2 linked regions of the Oryzias latipes genome follow. The protein of the gene in region 1 binds, or shares a complex with, the protein of each later gene. Links are inferred from orthologs where the notes say so. Each region holds a gene or a part of one and is shown on either strand. Other genes may lie near its edges. The genes, in order: supt16h and ssrp1.

Evidence for each region.
Region 2: supt16h (region 1) and ssrp1 share a complex: the UniProt entries of both Homo sapiens proteins name them as parts of the FACT complex. The link is inferred for Oryzias latipes from reciprocal best matches to the Homo sapiens genes SUPT16H and SSRP1.

Annotation. Positions count from the first base shown.
Region 1 is NC_019876.2:21,323,910-21,335,324, forward strand, and holds the start of supt16h (FACT complex subunit SPT16), read right to left. Parts: upstream 5,504-11,415; 5' UTR 5,210-5,503; coding exon 5,144-5,209; intron 2,408-5,143; coding exon 2,315-2,407; intron 2,237-2,314; coding exon 2,066-2,236; intron 1,984-2,065; coding exon 1,831-1,983; intron 1,749-1,830; coding exon 1,602-1,748; intron 1,447-1,601; coding exon 1,295-1,446; intron 759-1,294; coding exon 586-758; intron 1-585. Other genes in the region: tox4 (TOX high mobility group box family member 4), read right to left, coding at 7,511-7,568, 9,032-9,186, 9,267-9,914. UniProt on the Homo sapiens protein: Component of the FACT complex, a general chromatin factor that acts to reorganize nucleosomes. The FACT complex is involved in multiple processes that require DNA as a template such as mRNA elongation, DNA replication and DNA repair.
Region 2 is NC_019868.2:14,002,061-14,013,555, forward strand, and holds the start of ssrp1 (FACT complex subunit SSRP1), read right to left. Parts: upstream 5,178-11,495; 5' UTR 5,086-5,177; intron 4,454-5,085; 5' UTR 4,449-4,453; coding exon 4,395-4,448; intron 3,656-4,394; coding exon 3,470-3,655; intron 893-3,469; coding exon 787-892; intron 566-786; coding exon 372-565; intron 262-371; coding exon 161-261; intron 1-160. Other genes in the region: clcf1 (cardiotrophin-like cytokine factor 1), read left to right, coding at 6,840-6,858. UniProt on the Homo sapiens protein: Component of the FACT complex, a general chromatin factor that acts to reorganize nucleosomes. The FACT complex is involved in multiple processes that require DNA as a template such as mRNA elongation, DNA replication and DNA repair.

The sequences.
Region 1 (11,415 bases):
ATGCAGGTGTTACTGCATCTTTATCTGCTATCTTCTTCCTTTCCATCTATTGCAGCTGTAGGCAGCAAAACTTTAGGTGGAAAAAATTAAGATTTGTTGTTAAATCATTAAAAGCAACACTAACATTTATGTTTTGTTTACTGCTGAAGTGAACCAGGCAGTTGACAGAAAAATGTTTGAGTCTGACATTCAAGCGACATATCGTTCCTTTCTTTGAAAATCTTTGTGTTTTTATCTGTTCTGTTTATCTGGTATTAAATACATTTTAATTTCCATGCATCCAGGAAAAAAGAGATTGATATACCAACCATTCAGACATAATAAATTACATCTAAATAGTAAAAATGATGGAACGATTCACAAAACGTTTGTAACTGTTCTAAAAGATCTGCACACACACACAAACGCAAAAAGGATTTTTGTTTGGAATGTTTTCTAAACTAAAATTCAGAGGAAGGACAGTTCCTTCGATCATCTTTAAATGTTTCGACTAATAGACTGAAGTCCACCTGACCACAAGACTTTACAAGAAAACGTCCACCAGAACCTAAAGTTCCCACAGTCACAGGCAGCTCATGAACGCACCGTGCTTCAGCTCCTTCAGCAGCTCCTCCTCCACCTGAACCAGGAAGTTGTAGTTGTCCTGCATCTCCTGGGACGGGTCCACCATCAGGGTCCGAACTAGGTTGGAGCAGTAGGACTTGTAGCGGATGCCCATGGCACACGTGATGGCACCAAAGTGCATGTGGTTCTTATCACTGAGACGACGGTATCAGAAAATAAAGAAAGAAATAAGTCAGCCAGTGCGCTTTATGAGGAGCCACAAATCAGGAGGATTTCTTTTTAGCCATTTTACTTTTGGATATCCAGGTCTGAACACTTTAAACATCAACCAGAACTGACTCACTGCGACCTATATGGTTGAAATAAAACACATTTTATTTAAAAGTGATTAAAGCTGTGACGGAACAAAGAAACAGCTCCTTCCTTTGAGGTACAGTGCCACCTGGTGGTGACAAGCACAAACTGCACCAAGAAGAAGCTCCTTTGAAAAACATGCTGAAGTTGAACACTCTCTTCAAACAGGAACCCTCTCCAGGCCTGATGTTGAGCTAACAGTCCTCACACAGACCTCCTCAAACCAAAAAATTCCCTCTATCACATTAAGGGATTCTGGAAAATTCTTCAGAGCTGGAGCTTCCTTGAGCTTTCTGATCAAACCTCTGACTTTTGAGTGATGAGCTGCTGTCAGAAAAGAGTTTCTACGGGACTTTGTGCCAGAGCCATCACTCACCTGACCACGCTAAACTTCAGACTGTAGTTGCCCCCACTCTGGATGATGGGGGGGTAGCACATCTCCACTGTGGACGGGTCTGCACCGCCCAGGTACTTCTTCTCCTCGATGGCCTTCTCCACCGACTCAGCCAGCTTGCTGTGACGCACTTTCTGTTGAGGAACAGATGCATTCAAACAGGGAAAGCCAGCACAGCGCCCGTCTCAGGACCACCAAAGCCGCAGTCCGTGGGTTTACGAAGAGAAAGAAGATCTGATGTTCCCGTATGTTGACCTGCAGAGATCTCCGTTTGCCCCGCTCCTCTCACCTCGTCGGCATCAACGATCTCCATGACGCGCTCCTTGAAGAACTTGGAGTAAACCTCGCTGGTGATGGCGGCTGCTTTCTTCATCAGACCCAGCTCCCCGTCCTCCTTCACCGCCATGGTGTAGGCCACCACGGCACTGATATCCACCTGCACCCACGTGGCAGCGGCGTGATCACAGAGGCGTGAACAGAGGAAGCTGGCCTGGGCATCTGCTCGCGTGCCCCCTTACCTTCTCCAGACCCTCAGCGTTGAGCGCGTCGCCCCAGCTCTTCATGTAGTCTCCAGGAAACTTGTCCTTGCTGAAGATTCCCACCGTCTTCCCCTCTCTGCTGCCCTTGATCGCCTCAATCATCTTATCAAAGTTGGCTTTGTTGCTTTCATTCTGAAAGGCGAAAGGTCAAAGCTGGTGAACAAATCTTTGCTTCAAAGTCTGACAGCTCTACATGAAAAACTCCCCGACTCACCTTCTCTCTAGTGAGCAAAGTGATGGGCGGGGCTCCATTGGCGTTCTCGTTGCCTTTGGTTACAGCCACCTGTTTGAGGAAGTCCACCTTCTTCTTGCTGGCCAGGAAGATGATTTTGGTGTCACAAAACACCATGATGGTGTCCGTGAGCTCGTAGCCAAACAGCCAAGTCTGAGGGCCAAAAGCATGCCGGTCAGCTGAAAATACGGCGGCCCGTCTCTGGCCTCCCCTCAGACCCTGGAAGCTCACCTGTATGGCGGTGGATTTGGCGTACACGATCTCCTCATCGACCCCCACAGAAACTACGATGGCATCAATTTTACCAAACTCATCCTCTCCTTTCTAGAATGTACACAAAGACACACATTCATTGGAATTACGGTCAGGCTAAGCCAAAAAAAAAAAAAAAAAAAAAAAAAAGACTTTTTTCCCACTAAATGTGATTTCCAATGTTAACTGTCTTTTTTTTTTTTTCCTCCTTTCTCAGTATACTTTTTTACAAAAATGACAAACTACATCTAAAAAAAACTATCACTTTAACATCTCCTTTGAGAGTTCACCTGCTTCAGGTGTAAAAAACTAATTCGCTGTTGTTCTACCTTTGTTAGCAACAGTTTTCACACATTTTTTGCATCATGCAATTTGTTGCTCCAAGTCTGAAGTCACAAAATTGAACGAGTTCCATTTAACTGTCTTTTTCAGAGTAGAAGTCACAGTGAACTAGCACTCAGGAGAGACTTGTGTGATTTTTTTTTAACATGAACAGGCTCATATGTGTTATTTTCCCACCAACAACCAGTTGCTCTTCAGCGGTTGTTGCTGCTAGAAGGCACTGTAAGTGTATGCATCGGTATTTGTGACTGACAGCAACAGAGATGAATGAAGCAGCGTCTTTAAGAACAAAAAATGGAGGAGAATCTGATCGTCGTCTTCCTGAGCTTTGTGATATTTTTCTTACTTGCATCTAGACATTATTATTGTTTTTCATTTTTCCTTCCTCCGACTAATGCGGGACAGCAAGTCATCAAACTGGGTTACAGAGACGAGGAAGTACAGCTGAAAGCGCCATCATTCACACGCAGTGGAAAAAAAAGATTGCTAGACATTTTTTTTTTTAAAGGACTGAAAGGTCTTATGAACCCAGCCATGGAGATGTGTTTACTGAAGCTTTTGTAGAACTCTTCAAAATATCTCTTGTCGTTTCATTTCATTGTGAAAGAGTTATCCGGTCAATGCTTCTATGTAGCGATGAGGCTAAAAACTTGACAGTAGCTTCTACCACACGTGAAAGCGCCTCCAGCCGATGAACACATTTTTGGACAAGCATTGAGCATCTGCTTTGGCAGCAAACACAGATGTGACGCATGAATCGGGTTTGGTGTGAATGCAGTATTACGCCGGGGTTGGCAGAGTTGTTCTACAAACATATTCCGGAGCGATTTATATGTGGGGGGGTTTCCCCCCTTCTTTTCTATGCATTTTTTTTTTGCTGATGCGACTTGTGCTCCGGAAAAACGTATAGTCGGATAAATAAATAACTGGGGAAAAAACAGATCTGCTATTTTCATGTCTGCGCATAGCGAGAAATGGGCAGGCTGACCTTACTCTGAACAACAGAAGTCCAAGAGAGCTGTGAAAATAAAATCCAGATTTATCAATATACACACAACAAATTCAAATGTATCGATGAGATTGATTAAATAACCCAGCCCTCCACTCAGGTTTGGTGTGCATTCACCTTCTACTCCTCCTTTTTCAGGGATCTGACTAGACTAAGAGGCGTTATAACCTCAGCTCGGAACTTTCTGCCCTGAAATAAATGCATCTTTAGGTTCCCTGGATGATTCATAAAAGTACTACTGTGTTAATTAAAAACACAAACTTGGAAATGTGTTATGCATTCTTTAACATTTTAATCATGAACAATGGCTTTTGGAATCTCTCAGTCTTTAATGAGGCAAATAAAACACTTTCAGCTGCCCTCCATTGGAGTTCTGCTCCTTTACAAGGTTGGGTCAACAAAAAACTTTATTGAAATGAACACACTCTAAGGCATGATTAGACATTAGAGGAAAGCCATTCATGCAAGTTTGTGGCTTCCTCCCACAGTTTAGACACACGACTGGCCTAAATCAGAGTTTGGGTCTTGTGGTTCTGGGACTGATTGTGGGGGGGGGGGGGGGGGGGGGGTGCTGTGCTTGTCTTTGCAAGGGGCCACAGAGACCCTGATCAGGATGAAGCAGGGGTTGATGATGAATGGAAGACAATCTAATCCTGAGTTTGTGAAACAAATAGATCTAGGGGTTTGGTTGTGATGTTTGACCTTAAACTCCTCACAGCACAAGGGGCTTCTATCAGTAACTTAGTAACCTGTTACTCTACCCGAACCATAACCTAAAGTTTTCAGGTGAAAAAAGGCAGCATATATGAAGCTGAAACTTTGGTCTGGGATAAAAGTTCATCTGTAAGAATTGAGTTTCCAAACCCGCACATGCCGCAGAAACGAGTCCCATGCTGGCGCCGCGCGCTTCACATGGAGCCGGGATGCTGATGCTGTGATGCTAATTGTTAGCATCCTAGATTAGCATGTAGCGCTGGGACAAAGTGCAAACCGGCAGCAGCTGAACTTTAGCTTCAACTCACTCAGCCCTGTGATCGGTAGAACTTTATCGGAACCATTTCATTGAAATGTGTGTGTCCATTTCGATGAAGAGCGGCCATAAGCCGTCGTACTCCGTTAGCTGGTTGGTGAAGTTAACAAGTTAGCAGACTAGCTAACCCACTGACTGAATGAGAGGACCGCAGTGCTAACATGAGGCAGTCGCATGCGGGACCGAGGATCCCTGCGGGTATCTTACCAATGTGTCCTAAAAGATTCGCAAAACAAACACCGACCCGTAACTGCACGGTCTGGAGAACATCAGCGTTCGCACCCTCAACGCTCCGCTGGGTCCGGTGTGAACCCGCGGCTAACTCTCTCTGGGCTCCCACAGCGGCTTCATCATGTCTTCTGCTCAAAAATTACCTCTAACCGGGTTCTGCAGCACACCGACCCGCTCCGGGCCGAGCGCGGCTCACCTTCCAGTTGCTGTATAGCCTTTTGATGCGGCGGTAGTACGCTTCCTTGTCCAGGTTAACCGCCATGGCGAGCGCTCTGCTGCGAACTCCAGCTCCCGGCTTGGCCTCCCCAGCAGGCCGGATGAGGATGATGATGATGGTGAGCTAACAACAACGCACTTTCCTTCCACGCCTGCCGAGGTCCGAACGGCACTGACTGCAGATGCGCTCGGCTTTATAAGAACCGCAACCTTCTAGCTACGCGCTCATGCAAGAACCAGCGACGGGTTAAGAAAATGATCAAAATTACTCAAATTCAAACTGTTCATCTACCACTGTTTTCATACACCAATCAGTTATAATTAGACGCTCACCCCTCCCTCTCTACAGTCCGAGCCTTTTCCCTCCCCCTCTGTGCATATTCATCATTGAGATCAGTATACTTATCCACTAAATCTCCATGGTAACCATTGAATAAAAGTGTAAAGTAAGCCTAACAGAATTCAAAATAAAACTGCCATTTTTATTTTACTTCAACGCGTTTAATACATTTATTTTATTCATAATGACGTATTTTGTTGTAAACCGCAGTGTCGCCACAGCGCCCCCTGCCGTGTGTTGACTATCAATCTTTCCCGCCACGAAGGACCTTTCCCGCCACCATCTTCGAAAGGTTCTGCTGACGTAAATCTCGCGATACCACGTCCACTTGGCAGCCTCCAAGATTTGCGGGGGAAATTCAACAAGTTTTTTTTATTGAATCATTGTAAAATGTTAAAATCAAGACGTCTCCATCTTCAGAAAAACACTATCATGTCATGTTGAAACAACAGTAAAGGAACACATAGAGCACATCAAAACTCTGAACTCTTACATGAAATCAATTAAATGAAAAAATAAAATAAATAAAACAAAAGTTGTGAGGGGTTTAATCTAAGAGTTTAAACAATTGTAGCATATAGTAGCATATTGGATTTTTTTTCTTCTCCTTGCGGTGTTGGTATCTTGGTTATAACTTATATAACCGATTTATATGGGGTTTCATCTTAAAGAGTTTGCAGTTGTGGAAAAATTATTTTGTGGTTCAAATCAATCCTTTGATCATGAAGTCTTAATTTTTATTACTCAAGTACATTTTATTTCTAACAGAATTTCAATTTAAACAGTCTATTGTAATATTTTCACCTGTCAACCAATTATGAAAAAAAAAGTTTTTTTTAAAAAAAGCCTTGCAAAAAATAGACAAGGGTGAAAATCTAAATGCTGTTGAAGTTAATTTTTTTTTAATAAAGGTTAATAAATTAACATTAAAGCTTAGAATCAAACCATTGACTGTAAATGAGAACTGGATCAAGTGAGTGTGATATCACCCATAGAACATGACTTGCTTCTGTTTCCAATGAATTAAGGCTCATTCGGCTGCTAATTTTTTGATATACGGCTGTCGTGATGTTGGAACCAGACAATCGGTAAGCAGCGATTGGTCAAGTTGGCCTAAGTTTACATTTCTATGCTGACCCATACAGTCAATGAATCAAACTAAATTGGTTCTTGATCTGCAATCATGAGGTCAAAATGTATATTACAACATAAAATATTTTATTTCATGATTAAAAACATTTCCATGATATGTACAATAAATCAGACCAATAACTGCATCAATAAGTCTCATTGGGAAGTTTTATTTTTTCAAAGCATTTAGTCTCTGTTGGACTACTTTCACAGCCAAACGCGATTGATGTTTGCAAAGAAAACAACTGTTTTTCCCTCATGGTAAGTAGTGTTGTCAGAGCTGACCTCTTTTAATTTAAATTTACCTCTTCAAAAAAAAGACCTTTGAGCACAAATCTCCCCTTAAAAGCAAACTTGGCATGAAATTTAAAAAGGGATTCATGAGAACAGAAAGGTTAGCACCTGTTAGAATCTTCATGAAGCCGAGCTGGACTTTTGTCCTCCTCGCTCTCTTTCAGCTTCTAGGGCTTTGTGCAGTTGTTGGTCTTTTCTCATCAACACAAACACAGCCACCCAAACAACACAACTCTTCACATTGATTAGTTCTCATAGTAACAGTAAAGGGAAGATTATACACACAAAGTTGAGTTTTTAAAGCACCTAAAAATAAAGAATTCATCCACAACAATATTTTCTTTTTTTTTGCAAAACAATTAAAAACACCAGAAGTTCATAATTTGTTGAGTCTGAAGTTGAAATGATCAGTGGCCATCATCATAATTGCAGTGTTTGAAACCAAAGAGTTTCTGCAGAAAAGAGGTGGTGAAGATCTTCTGCTCAGCGTTTGTCCCCGCGCTGACAGGACGACGGGAGTCAGCTGTCGGGTGCCCCTGAGTCGGACTCTGTCTGTGCTCGGCTGTCAGGTTTGTCCTGGTCCTATGTGACGGTGGTGGAGCTCTGCCCGCGGATAGCACACCAGGCCATGAACACGTCTCTGCAGAGCCGCCAGGAGAAGATGAGAAAAGAAAACGTGTGACGTTTGAGTGTCTTACAGAACCCAGAAAAGCAATTCACCAAAGTAGCATAAGGAGATTCAGGATAAGCTCAAGATGCTGACTTGATCTAGAATCTTTACAACCTTTTGAATTATTATTATTATTTTAAACATTTTGATTTTAAAAGTAAAGATATGTGTGTGTGTATGTGTGTGTGTGTGTGTGGGGGGGGGTGTCAGCTACAAATTCTGCAAGTTTTTCCACTTTAAAAATTGAAATTAGTCTGTAATGTTCATCATAGAAACGCTTAATCTGTGACAATCCAGGAAATCCCATTATAGGATTTAGAAATTATTTCTTTGTATAATGTTGCAGGAGATAAGTATTTGGTCAACAGCAAAAGTTTACCTCAATTCTTTGTGATGTAACCCTGGTTGTCAATAGCTGCGTATCCATTGACTATTAAATTGCGCAAATTGGATTTGCGATAATAAGGAGCTCTCCGCTCCATGGCTGGAATGAGACGCAGACGTCTCCTTTGACAGGTGAAGATGAGCGCTAGAGATGGCAGAAATTTGAATGCATCTGCTGTCAAATTATCATTTTATTAGTTGAAATATTGTTCACATCCATCGCCATGTTTTTGAATGACTTATCGATTAAGTTGGTTTGTGTTTATTCCCATAATTATAATTTAATGGAAACAATCTGACTGTGAAATCTTGTTTTTTCAATATTTTTATAATTTTGAAAAGGGTTTGCACATATGTGTAATTGAAAAACAGAGACAATGACAGAGGTCAAAGGTTTCCTGTAGGTCTATTAAAAAGATTGACATTGTAGCTGCTATTCTGGTCCATTCTTCCATTCAGATCTTCTCAAGAGCTGTCATATCTTGGGGCTGTAGCTGGACAAGTTTTTTCGCAGCGGAACATGAACAAACCCCCTTCGGGACCGCATATCCGCGGGTCTTACGTTCCTAACATTGACCTAATCCTAACTTTGACATTTGAAGACGTAATAATTGTTGTTAAAAGTGGTTTTAACGTCTCAAAAGAATGGTAAAGCCACCCAGACGTTGACGCATTTTGCAGTACGGATTGGATACCCACACCTGCCTTTCTCTGCAACCGTGATCAGATTTGTTGAAGAAAGGAGAAAAGCCTGTGTTGTGGAATTAGTGTGTGCGTGTTTATGAGATGACGCTTGCGTGCTGCAGGAAAGAGGGGGGAAGAGCGCAAGATTGAGAATGATTATGTTATCCTGGAAATTATCCTGCTCTGGATCAGATTAGATGGATCAAACCTTTACATTGACTTGATTCAGGCTCTTATTCTATGTGTGTGCAGCTAAACCTGATCTAAATGGAGCTGACATGGTTTTGATGTTGGAAAACGGGAAGATGATTTCGGGTTTGACTGATTGGGATTTTGTGCAAACATCTTGTTTTCTGTGAACAAACCTGCAGTGGGTGGCCACACACTCGTTGCTGCAGTACTCCCGGTCCCAGTCTTTACTCTCCACCGCGGGGTTTGTGCAGCCCGCTCGAACGCAGATGTTTGGACTGGAGGTGGAGGTTATGCTGGGGGCGGGGGCCACGCTCACCTCCACCTCCATCTGAGGGTGAGGAGAAACAGAGTTGGGATGATGTGTGTCAACCTACAGCCAGAATCCTTTCAGACACTTGTTGGACCCACCCCCTCCTCTGGTTCTGCCACGTCCTCCCCTCTTGTCAGCATGGCGCCGCTCTGTCCCACCTGCACCACCATGCCCGAGGGAGACGCTGCCCCCTCACCCACTGACGTCACTGCGATTGCAGAGTCCGACTGCCGGGACGAAGGAATGACCTTAAATTGTAGTGGGGGTGGGGCAGTGGTGGCAGCTGTGCCCCCGCCCCGTGGTTTGGGCTGCAGAGGCGGAGGGGCCTGGGCGTGTACCATCTGCTGCAGCCGTGGAGGGGGCGGGGTGTTCTGCCTGTGCTGCAGCGGCGGTGGCTGGCGGGACGACGGGGCAGCAGTGGCAGTGACAGACACTCCCCCGGAGGGCAGCGGCGTCTGCTTAATGATGATCTTTGTGACAGTGGGGGGGTTGGGCGTGGTGCTGGGGGGTGGGGCCTGGGGCTTGATGGCACCGGTGCGGGAGCGCGTGGTGACCTGCGGCAGGTCCAGGATGATGTTGGAGGTGCAGATGTTGGTGATGGTGTTCTCTTCTGGGTTGTAGTGCTGTGACCTGGGGGCACGGGGGGCTGGAGGTGTGGCAGGTGCAGCGGGGACTGCAGGAGCAGCGACGGGGACAGGGGCTGGAGGTGGGGGCGATGGAGCGGTGTCCATGACTTCTATGGGGGCCTGAGGAGAGCAGATTAGTCAGTTGTGAGACTCATCTGAGCGCAGATGACAGCAACATTAAAAACACATGCCAAAAGGGGTCTGGCCCCCCAGTACCCAAAGGAGAAACAAACACCGGTCTGTTTCAGTAAAAGGTTTTTGCTTCAGGAACAGAAGTATGAAAAACTTGTCGCTTCTAAAAGAATCAGCTGTTCTGCTGGGCACACACAAAAAATTAAAAATGTTTGTTTTATGAACGAAGGCTTTCTTTAAAGATTCACTCAAATAAAATTATGGTTTTGTTGTTTTTAACATGTTATTGTAGCATTTTTCTAATGAGGGAGGATACATATAAAGAAATTGAAGCCTGCATTGCATTTCTGAATATTTCTTTGATCAAATCGTTGTGAATCAGGAGCAGATGAAAAAATGCCATTTGAAAAAGCTTGTAGTTGTTACATAGAAAATACGCTGGGTGGTCCACAAGCTGCTCCACTTTCTGATGCGTCCGCTTGTAGACTAATAGATCCGTGTGCGTCTTTGTTTTCCTCGTGTGAGCTGGCATCCGGCTCTAAACTGTACGGCTGAATAGTCTTTTTTTTTTTGCACCAGTAGTGTGTTGGGGGCTGTTGGCTTGCAGGTGAGAGTGTAAACAGAGAGCTTTCAGAGGGGATATTGTTGCTCCACCCACATCTCAGAAGTAAATTTCTAATACACTCCTGCCGCTCTGCAGAAACTATGTCCCAGAAAATGAAATGATTTTGGCTAAAAACAACATAACCATAAATAAAAGACCACTTTGAAAATAGATCAAAGGGACTTTAACAAAATAATATTCTTTACTTAGTTTTGCTTCAGAAAAAGATGGGGGGGTGGGGTAGCTTAAATGTTTCCTTCTCTGTTTTCTTTGACAATTTTTTTTTGTGGGAATGCATTTTTTTTCAGAGATTAAAGGAATGGATACAAACCTGTTGAAATTTGGGCCTCTGGTCTAGTTTTGAGAATAAAGTGTACAATTTTTTTATTCTACAGTTGTTTTTTATTTTAGAACTCTCAACTCATTCATAAAAAGCTTTTTCTGCAGCTTTCAACTGTAGCAAAGTTGGTGTTCAGTGTTCCTTCATTTATCATGGGAGTTATGCTCTAAAAATCCACAAAGTAGGTAGATGTTTTAAAGCCCTCACTACACACTTCCAACACTTTCTTTTGACAGACATGAACATTTTCACACTTTTCCCTCTTGCTTATACTCTCAAAACTCAAACCTTGACAGTCCAGGATTATAAAATGAAAACAAGGATGTGTTCGTGATCAAACATTTATGTAAATGTGGCAAACTGAACATAATCTGTACAAGAGACACTTCACAGAGGAGATTGATGGACAAGGTCTCCAGCCAATCAGGATGCAAACTACAGTCTGCTGTAAAAAAGAAGGTATCATGCAAAATTCCACTGAGAAAAAAATCTTCAAAACAGCAAGACCGTGCGAAAGGTAAATCATGATATAGTGAAGGCGGTTT
Region 2 (11,495 bases), on another chromosome or scaffold:
GAGGAGGGTGATTTTTGGTCCCCGTGTGTGCCGAACCGTGGCTTGTGATCCGTACGTTGCACCCCTAGCGCACACTAATGCATGGATTGGAGAATGGGTGGACCTGATATAAATACGAGTTGAAAGACGGCTTTTCAGACAATAGGATATGATATTTGACCTTCCTCTGGGAGTAAGACACTGCAGCTCCTTGAAGATGCACACAGCATCTCCTGTGGCTTGGATGACGTCAGCCTTGGACAGGACATTCTGAGCAAAAGCCTACAGGAAAAAAACAAACCTCTGCAAATGACACAATCACACTGACAACACAAACACTTCATAAAGAGCGTTTCTGCACGGAGACCAGTATTTGGAAGCCGACTGCTCACCTCCACAGACTCTTGTCGCTCATCGGCCTGGCTGGGGGGGACGTAAAATCGGACTTCCATCAGGGAGACCTCTGTGTCGTCATTCTGGTGAAACTCCAGGGTGACTTCATTTTTTCCCGTTGCACACTGGGAAACATTGGAGAGGGGGATTTCGAACGCTGTGTTGTCGTTGACGTCAAATGACAGCAGCGGACCTGAGGAGAGATGAGAGAGAAGACAGACGCTGCCATGCATCAGTGGACGCTCAATATCGATTATCTCAACAACAATAAACATTATTGAACTGATATTTATCTGATAAGTCTGTTTAAATGAATGGAATTGATCAAAGTGGCCGTCCTGTGCCAGTAACTGCCTCATACTTTAGCATGGATGAAACAGGCATCTTAAAACAGGGATTGTGGCCAAAAGTCACCTGAGAACTTTGCTGTCCCCCAGTTCCAGCCCTTCACACACATGTCCTTCTCTGCCAGCTCCATCTTGTAGTTGGCCTTAAAAAACTCAGAGAGCTTCTCGAAATCCTGGTGGGAGTTCAAAGAATGAAAGGCCACATGAACTGAGGTAGTGATGATAGAAAGTGTTAAAGAGGGGGAAGAAGGGGAAGATAGTAAAAGGAGAAACTCTTCATGAGCCGCGGCTTATAAAAAAACACCAAGTAGGAAGAAGGATGTGGTTTATTAATCACACAAAGGAGCAAAAGATGTTAATGTAATCCACCCGCTTTCCCTGTGCAGCCCCAACTCCAAACCAGAACTGACAATCAGTCTGTTTATTTATCCTTCAGGCCCGCTTACAACTTGCAAAGGACTCGCACACAGCGACAAAGCAGTGACACACAGACACACACACACATACACACACACACTTCCAGTAGTACAAACACATGTGGAAGTAATTGCATGTGCATGGAAGAACCAGACTCGGTGGGAAAGCAAATTTACACACCTGGATATCTGCTTGTCCATAAGGTTATTATAGCCAATTAGAGGCAGCATGACTGTATTAGAGTGTGTGTGTGTGTGTGTGTGTGTGTGTGTGTGTGTGTGTGTGTGTCTGTGCTGAAGTTCATCAGCATGTTTGTTGACCTGGATTAAAGAGCTGTTTAGATACAGAGCATGTGGGAGCGGATGCGTAGCTGCATAAAAATCAGCGCTTGTTCACTGTTGTTGCATAACTCAGCTAATACAAATAAACACTCAGCCCACCTTCATCACACACACACACACACACACACCCACAAACACACGCACACTCATGCAGCATGATGACCAACGTCTGTGTCATAGCCGAGCACATTTAAACTCAGAAAAAAAAAGGATAAAGGTTACAGGTTGTAACAGGACAAAATTCCCTACAAAATGAATAATCACATATTGAACTCTGGTTTATAAATAACATGACTTTGCTTCTTTAAAAGTTTGAAGAAAATTATGCAAAAACTCTACTTTCCACTTCCTGATACTTAAGTAATCTAACAACAAACTCCACAATTGTGTTTGTGACAAATACCGTATTTTCCGGACTATAAGTCGCCCTTTTTTCATAGTTTGGCAAGGGGTGCGACTTATACTCCGCAGCGACTTATATTAGAAATAAATTGAAATAAATACATTGTTAACCCTCCTGTTATGTTCATTTGTGAGGAACAGAGATGATGTTTCTGGGTCAATTTGATGTATGAGGTATGTTAAGTGTTAAGAGGATGTTAAGTGACTCAGAGAATCAGCAAACTTTTTTTTACAGTAAGATCTTGAAGGCTAACAACATAATATTCTATTTTCCAATGATTTCATAGATTCAGAAATGCAATAAAAGTGAAAACTGTTTCTACAAATACAGGATGAAAACAGAGTATTAGTTGGCCAATGATGCTTCATGAAAGGAATAAATAATTAAGTAAGAGAAAGAATTACTGTGAAATTATTAGATAAACAGTCTGCTATGATTGTGTCATTTAAGGTTGTGAAAGTTAAAATGCGACTTATAGTCCAGTGCGACTTATCTGTGTTTTTTCTACTTTATAATGCATTTTTGGGCTGGTGCGACTTATACTCCGGTGCGACTTATAGTCCGGAAAATACGGTATTAGTGTCAGAGTGTTCAGTTTTTTCTTGTTCTAAAGAAAAATTACAAGTCGGAGTGATCACAATCCATCAGATCTGCTGGATCCAAGTTCACTAAACAAAGATTTGCTTTCAAAGGCGACACACAACACCACCTGTCAGGGGGTTAAAACTGAACTCTTAACGTGATCAGGAAACATGGGATCCCACTGATGACACTTGGAGGTTGACCCCCCCGTCTGGAAGGAATTCACTGGACTTTCTCAAAAGGGGCAGATGATTCAAAGTGTCTGCTCAGCACGCCAGCAGCCTCAACTTTCAGCCAATTCTCGATTACTGACACTAAGAGAGGGATAATAAACAATGACATCAGGACCTGGGGAGAAGATCCATCTCCCCTGAAAAATATACTGATTAACCCCAGGAGACTGTCACACAGTCCCGGTTATACCCTCTTCTTCATCCCAGTCTTGTTGACATTCTCCATAGTAAAAAAAAAAAAAAAAACTGTGACAGAAAACAACCACAACCACATTTATTTCTTGCTCGTTTTCTGGGCCAAATTGTTTTGGTGGATAGATATAAACACTGACTCACAAGAGCCGATGATTGCACTGTTTATGGAACGCATATGCTAGCACTGGTTTCCCTCATTAATCCCATTAGGAGCTTCGAGAAAAGGAGCAGACTTATTCACAAAGTTCTGACAGAACACATGCGCACAAACGCCCATGCGAGCTCCAGTGGTGGCATTTTCGCAAGATGGTAGTGTTTTTCGGGGGAAACGTCAAGCAGGGGGGGTTGCTTATCAGAGGCCCCACTGCTTGTGTTATGCTCTTTACCATAAACAAAAGGTTGACCATAGCAGTGGAATGTGTCAGGCTGAAATGTTCCACTATTCTACATGGAAAAAGCTGACACACGTCCCAAAAAGAGAAGGAACAGGTTAAGAGACTGGAAAAAAAAGAAGAAGCCAATACCGCAATAAAAATATCCAAAAGCAACAACACTTAGGTGGGCACGTGGGTAACTTACCGTGTCCCTGAAGCCGTCATACTTGTACACGTGTCCTGTGCTGGTGCCGAGTTTGATGCCGTGACCTAAGCACACTCGCCTCCACTGCGCTAAGTTGAGCTCACCAGCAGGAATGCTGTCCACCTTCCCCGTCTTGTTGCTCTTATAAACCACATTTTGTTTGCTGAACCGTAGCCGTCCGTCATTCTGAAAGACCAATAAAACAAAGAAAAAGCTCTGTGAAAATGCAGAAAGTATTTGCTTTAAAAAACATCAAAAGAACAAAATCTACTAATAGATTGGGAACTGATAAAAAAGAATGTTTTTCTTAACAACAGAATAGTCTGCAAATGTATTTTTCACCAGTGTAACGCTTAATTGACAAATCATTGTGTAATCCTACAATCCAGCCAGAATGATCTGTCTGAGGTCATTTTCTCTTATCTGAATCAACCTATACCGTTGAATGAAATGAAATAAATGGATTATATTGATGGTTGCCAAAAATGATTAAGACGTCATTTTAGTGTGGAAACACTTTAAATTTGGCAAAGACATGTGACCATAAAGTGTGGTGGAATGTTCTGATAATGGTCCCTTTGGATTATATTGATGAAGAAAAACAACACTGAGCTGAATTTCAGACAAAAAGCTGAACGATTAGACATTAATTCTTGCAGTTTTTTTTATTTATTTTTTTTCTGGTGAAACACAATTAGAAGGTCTCGAAAAACAACATAACCCACTTAAGACTACAAAAAGTCAGAAAAAGGACAAAAAAACATAGTTTTTAGGTTAAAAAACGTTTACAGAACAAACTGACCACTTCATGATCTGTAGCATATGGCTTCTTATGTAACTAGATTTTTGTTTGACCAACATTTTATGCTAAAATGTCCAAAAATTCAGAATATTGAGGAGATACAGAAAAATAACATATACAAACCCAAGAGCCTTTCACTTCCTGATAAATCTCGTTGAACTCCAGCATATCACCCATGATGCCTGCAGGCAGAAAACAACTTAAAGGGCATTGAAATAAAAATAAAGACCAGTGGTATTTATATCATGCGTTCTCAACGTGATGTTTACAGACACATTAAAATCAGATCATCAGAAAATGTTGCTTTACGAACTAATATTTTAAAAAAATGTAAATTTGGCTTTCAGTTAGTGTTGCACTGTGCAGACATTTATGTCTGACCGAATATTTGGGTATTAAGAAAATGAAATAATTCTTGAAAGGGGCAGTACATAATAGTAACACAAATATTTTTTAAAGAAAAGGAATGCTTTCATTATTCGCAGAGACTGTCATTTTACTTCAGCTAAGCTAACGTTAGTTATGCAAAGTGCGCTAATTTTATGTTACACCACTCGGTCAAGACAAAAATGTTACCATGTGTACCAGCATGTACCCTAAAGCCGCCCGATAGGGACAAAGCGGTCATTAAATCAAACGTACCTAAAAGAGACGGGCCGATTCTTTTTTTTTTTACAGAAAGCAACGTTAGCGTTACTTTAGCGATTTGGTGATAGTCTGTCTACCACGAAACAACCACCAAAATAACAAATGGTTAAAAAACAAGCTATACTTTCACATCGAAACACAAATAAATAACTTAAAATCTTACTACCTCTGTTTCGTGCTGCTTTGCCTGTTTCCCGCGTGTAGCATCAGATGCTAGCGTTACGTCACCGGAAACGCTGGGTTATAAATGTACTTCCGGTTCATTGTTTTGATTTATAGTTGTGGTTTTTTTTGTTTGAAAAAAATAATGAAAAGGGTTTAAAATTACGGATAAATCGATGATTTATGTTCGTTATTGCGGCTATCACTGAATGTGCTCATGAAAGAGTCAAGTGCAGTGACTGTTTACTGCCGCTAGGTGGCACACAACACATCCTAGGAAATTGGTTATTGAAAACTACAGGTTTTTCAATTCAAAAACAGTTAACACTTTTAAAGTGATCTAAAAAATAGATTCTAGGGTATTAAAACTTTAATTGAAGTTAAAAATGGCATTTAACGAACAATTGGGGGTTGAGATCAGCTAGTAAAAGACTAAACAAGACATAACAATCGCTTGAGTGTAGATTATTTAATGCATCCGTATTGTGATTGGAAAATTAATAAAATAAATAAAAAGCAGTTAACAAGATAAATAAAAAACAAGCAAAACATACGAGGTAAGTCAAGTTAGTTCTCAAAAGCGGCCTCTGGGCACGCATCCTATTAACTCAGAGGAGTGTGGTTTACAGACCCCTGGCAAAGAAATCTTGTCAGTCATTAGCACAGTTTTATGGGCTGAACTCCCGTGCTTTCTCTAACTCTATATTTTTCTCTCTTTTTTATTTAGAAGCTAGCACCTGAATTTAACCAGACCGCTTTATTAAAACAGACACGAACGTTTTTTTTATATACATATATATTTTTTTTTTTTATCGGCGCGGGACTTTACGCATGAGGCCCAGACTCAGTCAGAGGAGTTTTACTATTTCATCTTTTTTGTTTTAGCACAAACACGGATTTGTAAACCGTGACTGCTGAAGGTAAATCGCGGTTGTTAAAAAAATAAAATGAAAAAGTTAGATTAGCGAGGTGTACAACGCAATTCTCAGATCTTGACGCTTATTTTTAATATGAATATTAGTTTTTTTCTCACCGTTTTTTATTACTGTACAATTTACTACACCGATTTTATGACGAAATATCGCATTTATGATCTGTGTTTGTAATTATCTAATTTTTCGTTAAAAAACGACAATTATAACATCTTTTTATTCCCATTTATTCTCCATTTTTTATTTTCTCTCTGAAAGTTTTTGAGTGTGCGTAACTCCTGGACCTTTTCCTTTGTTGTCCTGAAAAGGATCCTTTCCGACTCGATACCTTATTAGCGGGAAGTAGATTAAAGATCAAACAGCTGAAGTCAAAACGTGTTCGTGGGGATGAGGACGGGACAAGAGACAGGAATGAGTTGTGACAAGTCCCGAGGTTCAGCGCCTCTGTCAAAGTTGCGCTCTGGTGCGTCAACCCGGTGATTCACCAGCACCGAGGAGGAGGAATAACCAGGAAAGAAGAAGAGACAGGGATGAAAAGGAGGGCAGGAAAATGAGTTAAAAGGAAGAAAAAAAGAGGAGGAGGTGGAGGAGGTACAAAAAGGCTCCGCAGTCTGTCACACAGACCACACAAGTGAGAGGATCGTTTTTGCGTTTAAACCGAGAAAAGTTATTTCATTAAAAAGTTATAATAATTGTATAAAGGATCAAGACAGAGCATCATCTGCATTTTTCCATCTTCCACCGAGCAGAAGGGAGCAGGTTTTTACTGAACACGTGATGAAAAGTTTGTCTGTTCAATCTGCAAGGAAGCTGTGAACGGAATAAGATGAAATGCTTCAAGGGAGGTGAGTGCATTCAATGAAACTCTAAAAAGAAAACTAAAATGAATTTTAACATCTTTGTCCAAGCTTTGCATGTAAATGTATATATTTTAAAATGGTTTCGTAAAAATGATTTGTCCAATCAAATATTTTGTCTTGTAGCCTACTTTTTTGCTGCATATTTAAAGACACATTTTATAAAAAAAAAGAAAAAAAAGAAAATTCACTTGTTTTAACCAAACTACTTAAACCGTTATTATAGTCTATTCAAGTACAAAGAGAATCATTTCTTTGCAGGTTAAAAGTTAAGATTTGATTCTTCTAAAATAAAATCAAAAGTGAAATATTATTAGCTAGAGAATTAGTTATTTTGTACAACGAATAAAAAAGATTTGCTAATTGGATTTTAGTTAAACATGAGGCATAGCTTGGAAACAAATGGGGCGAGACCTGACGGAGGTATTGGAGGTCAGAGCAGCTGAGGAGCCCCTGTCTCGTTATCTGTCACTGATATGAGAAAGTATATGATTCACGTTAGTCAGGGTGTGAGAGGACACACACAAATTTCATCCCTCTTGGGAGGACCGCCACGGCTGCTGCTCCTCGTCTAGGAAAGGTGGGGAAAGGAGGTGAAAGAAAGACAGGACAGTCTACTGAGGGATGGCTCTGTGATGAAATTAGGCATTTCAGAAAACATCTTCCCACATTTCAGCCTTCCTCCGTGGTCCTCTTCACCCCATTTAGGTGGGGACACTATGACTTGCACTGCAAATTTAGTCTAACTTTACAAGAAAAATAAATACAAACGCTTTGCAGCTCTTTCTGACACACAGAGCAAACAAATACGCTGCTGCACAGCATGTCACCTCTGACACAAACAGAGCATTCATCTCTCCAGGTACATACACAATGTGAGTTTTATTTTCTCACATACGGGGCAAAAAAGCTTGCAAAGAAAGCCTGAAAGCCCTGGTGTGTCAATGAAAACAACAGCCAATCAGGGGAGACAAAAGGAAGAAGGGAAGAGGAGGGGATGTGGAAGAAGGAGGATAAACTGAACCTTTTGATTCTCTCAAGCCATCCTCAATTCTTCATGGTACATATATATCAAGAGGATGTGAGGAGGGGCGGAGTGGTGGGGGCTCCGTGGATGAGTTAGGATGAGGGAGCTTAAAGACGGATAAAAGTCCATGGAGAGGAAGAAGGGAAGCGGCGGCCGAGGGGTTAATGCACTACAGATTGACAGAAGTTAGCAGCACCCGGAGGGGAGGAGAGAGAAGAGCGAAGGGGGGAATGATATAAAATGAGCCGGTCACGCTTTGAACAGTTACACATGCTGTTTACATTTTTCCCAAATTAACATGGCCCCTCGCTTCAGAAAACTCCCCCTTCCCTCCACCTTTTCCTCTTCCTCCACCTCCACCTCCTCTTTTCCCTCTGTCTCTGTCCTTCAAGACTACAAAATATCCTGCTTGTTCCCAGACTATGATGCTGTTTTTTTTTTAGTTCTGTACCCTCTGCTTAAGTAATACCTACTGTTAATTCAGGTGTAAGATTTCAGGGAACATTTTTTTTGTTGTTGCAAAAACTGGAAATAGAGGTGAAAGAAGTACATCAGGAAAGCACATTCAGAAAACTTTCTGTGACACTAACGGCAGAAAAATCTTTAAAAAATATGAAAGGAAACACCTTTTAACATAGAAAAAAAAATGACCGGGAATGCTTTTAAAATAGATTTAAAGCTGTGGGACTTTAAGACCTGGCATCACATTTTATGTTATATTACCACACTGGTTAATTTTGCTGTCAAAACCTAAATAACAAAGAAAAATGAAAAAATCTATGTCCAACAAAAGTTAAATAGGCCAAAAGTATCTGAATTAATGGTTATCCACAATTTGTGGTTCCACAAAAAAAAATTTTTTCCGTCAGCTTAACCCAGTGTCCTGTTGACGTAACAAATGTTTGAGAAACTCATTAAAAAAGGAGGTGTGTCAAAAAAAAGAAGATAAGTAAAGCTTTTGAACAAAATTTCGTGGTACAAATGGGGTTAAATTTTCATTTTGATTAAAATAATATTAACTATTTTGGTGCAAGTAAATGAAAATTTTTATTGAGAAAGGATAAAATCGATCAAGGGAGGAGATTGAGTGGATTTACTCAGAGGGAAAGAAAAGATTTTGTCAGATGTGGAAGCTTGATGTTTCCGAGAAATTTACTGAGCAGTGTGAGAGATGAAAAAAAAAACAGAATTGAAACCAAACATGATGATAAAACATGAAGCGGCTGCGGTCGTCTGAGAACAAAGAAGAAAAGGAAAAACATTGATTGGCTTATAAAGTGAGAAGAAAGACAGACAACAGACGAGGAGGGAAACAAAGACGACTGTTGAGTTTTATGGCAAGAAATAGTCTCACAGAGTATCTGGGGATAAATAATAACTTTTATTGAGTTTATAAAGGCGCTTTCTGTCGTGTTGTTCTTGGGTCGCCTGATGTTTCCAAAGCAAGTGCACCCATGAGAGGTCCATCCTTAGAGGGATTATGAAAACCTCAATCTCATGAGATAAAAGCGTGTTGATTTGTGCTGGAGTGTGTGTGTTTAAGTGGTTTGTTTGCTTTAGATTGGGACAGAATGATGCCCGTGGATACACAGATCCACACAGTCTGGATACACTTGTGTGTGTGTTGAGTTAGTAAAGGAATGCATACTTGATTGAGTGCAGACTCCACATAAATCTGGCCTGTAACTGTACGCAGGCACACAATAGTGCTCTAATGTCAGATTGTCAACCACTAAACCCCCCCCAACACACACACGTGTGTGTCTGTCCACATCTCCTGGGACTCTATCCCTCCCATCATTCGGTTGATGAATTATTTCAGAAGCACATTTATTCAGAAGGAAAGACTTGTGACTGAAGACTAAATCGCCGTCAGGTACAAAGTAGCTGAATCCTTTCAAGAAAAAAAATGATTGAAGAAAAAAACCAGCTCCCATGAGTTTGGCTCTGCTGACTCCCTCCTGTCAACAGGTTCTCCTGCTCAAACTCCAGCATGTCAGCTGCATGACAGCAATTATGCAAATCAAGGTGCAGATGGCTGCGCATGCTGTGAAAAGCACGACAAACATTTCTATTTAGTGGCAAAAACGTGTTGATTTTAGTCAACACACATGTGGTGTATAGAGCTCTACAGTTAGATGAAACAGATGTTCTGATGATTTGTATGTAGAGAACAAGACTGTGGGACAGAATCTAAAACAGTGGAGCTGAGACAGCTGATTTAAAAATAATGGAAAAGGTTTGTAGGACCAGAGGAACCTTTGAGTTTTGGATTATTATGTCCAGCTTTGAAGACCCCTGGAATTCTTGGTGAATCTGGATATTATTGGATTAGCTGTTCAAATTCCAGTCAAAGCCTGGACTATTGAGTTGAAATTTTAATTTAAATCACTTAAGTGATGGCTCCTACAGTAGTTCCAACCCCAAACTGGCTCAATCTGACTGCTGAGGGAATCCAAAATTCCAACGCATGCTAAACATTTTGTGTTTTAGGAAGTTTTTTGGTTTACACCTCCATGGGAATTTCTTGGTTTACATGCCAATTCAAAGGATAAAAAGTTGATATGGCTGGAGAGAATTAAAATACACAACATCAAGACATTTTAAAGCAAACATTAAGGCCAAAAACGTATTTTAATCAGTTCTTTTCCCTCCAAAACTTATTATAACTATGTAGGATTTTAAATTCAATTAAATTATCAAACAAAACCAACTTTACGTTTTTCCTTTAAAGCTTTTGAAATGAGACTGACTGATCTCTATTTTCCATTACGGTGTGAAGAAAATATCTTTATTTTTCTTTATTAGTGTGTGAGCACAGTTTTTCTTTCACATTTACAAATCATATCAAAATGTTGCACTTTTAGCAATTTTTTAGTATTTTATTTTGGAAATCCATTGGCAATTTGATTGAGGTTTGGATACTGTCATCTCTGCTTGACCCTTCATCAAAAGATGGATTTAATACATTTGAATTCCCACAAAAAGTGTACTCTAATTGAGTTTGGTGCAATATTTTTATTGCATAACATGAATGTACAGGCTTACTTATCGCTGACGTCTCCCTGTTCTGATACCTAATAGACAGTAGCTGGCAGACTAAAAAACATGGTAGTCCATTGATTTGTCAACAAAAGATCCATGCAGCAATACCATAATTGTGCAATACCATGCAGATTGTGCATTTATAGTAATTGAACTGATCAGGTGAAACACTAAAGTTCAGGTTAGAAGTTAACATTTGCTCACTGTAATTCTGTTTTTCTTTAGATGCTGCTGTAGATTTGCTTCTGTGTTTTGAATTACTTATCTGTAGCATGATCCAGTTTCCATTTAGCTGTCAGATTGAATTTTGAATTGAATTCTGTAACAGAAATTTATTTTCCCAATGGCTTTTTCAGAAAAGATCAGTCAATTCAATCACTGCAAACAACTTAATTTCTTGGATGCCAAACAAACCCAAATCTCTTCTTTTTCAAACACTTCGTTTGACATTAGGTTAGAAGGATTTAGGCTGGTGTGGTGTGTTTTTGTCAAAGCTATCTTTGATGCCAAACACGTCGTGGCCCTTGTTCTGAAATGTTTGAGTTTTGTTAGA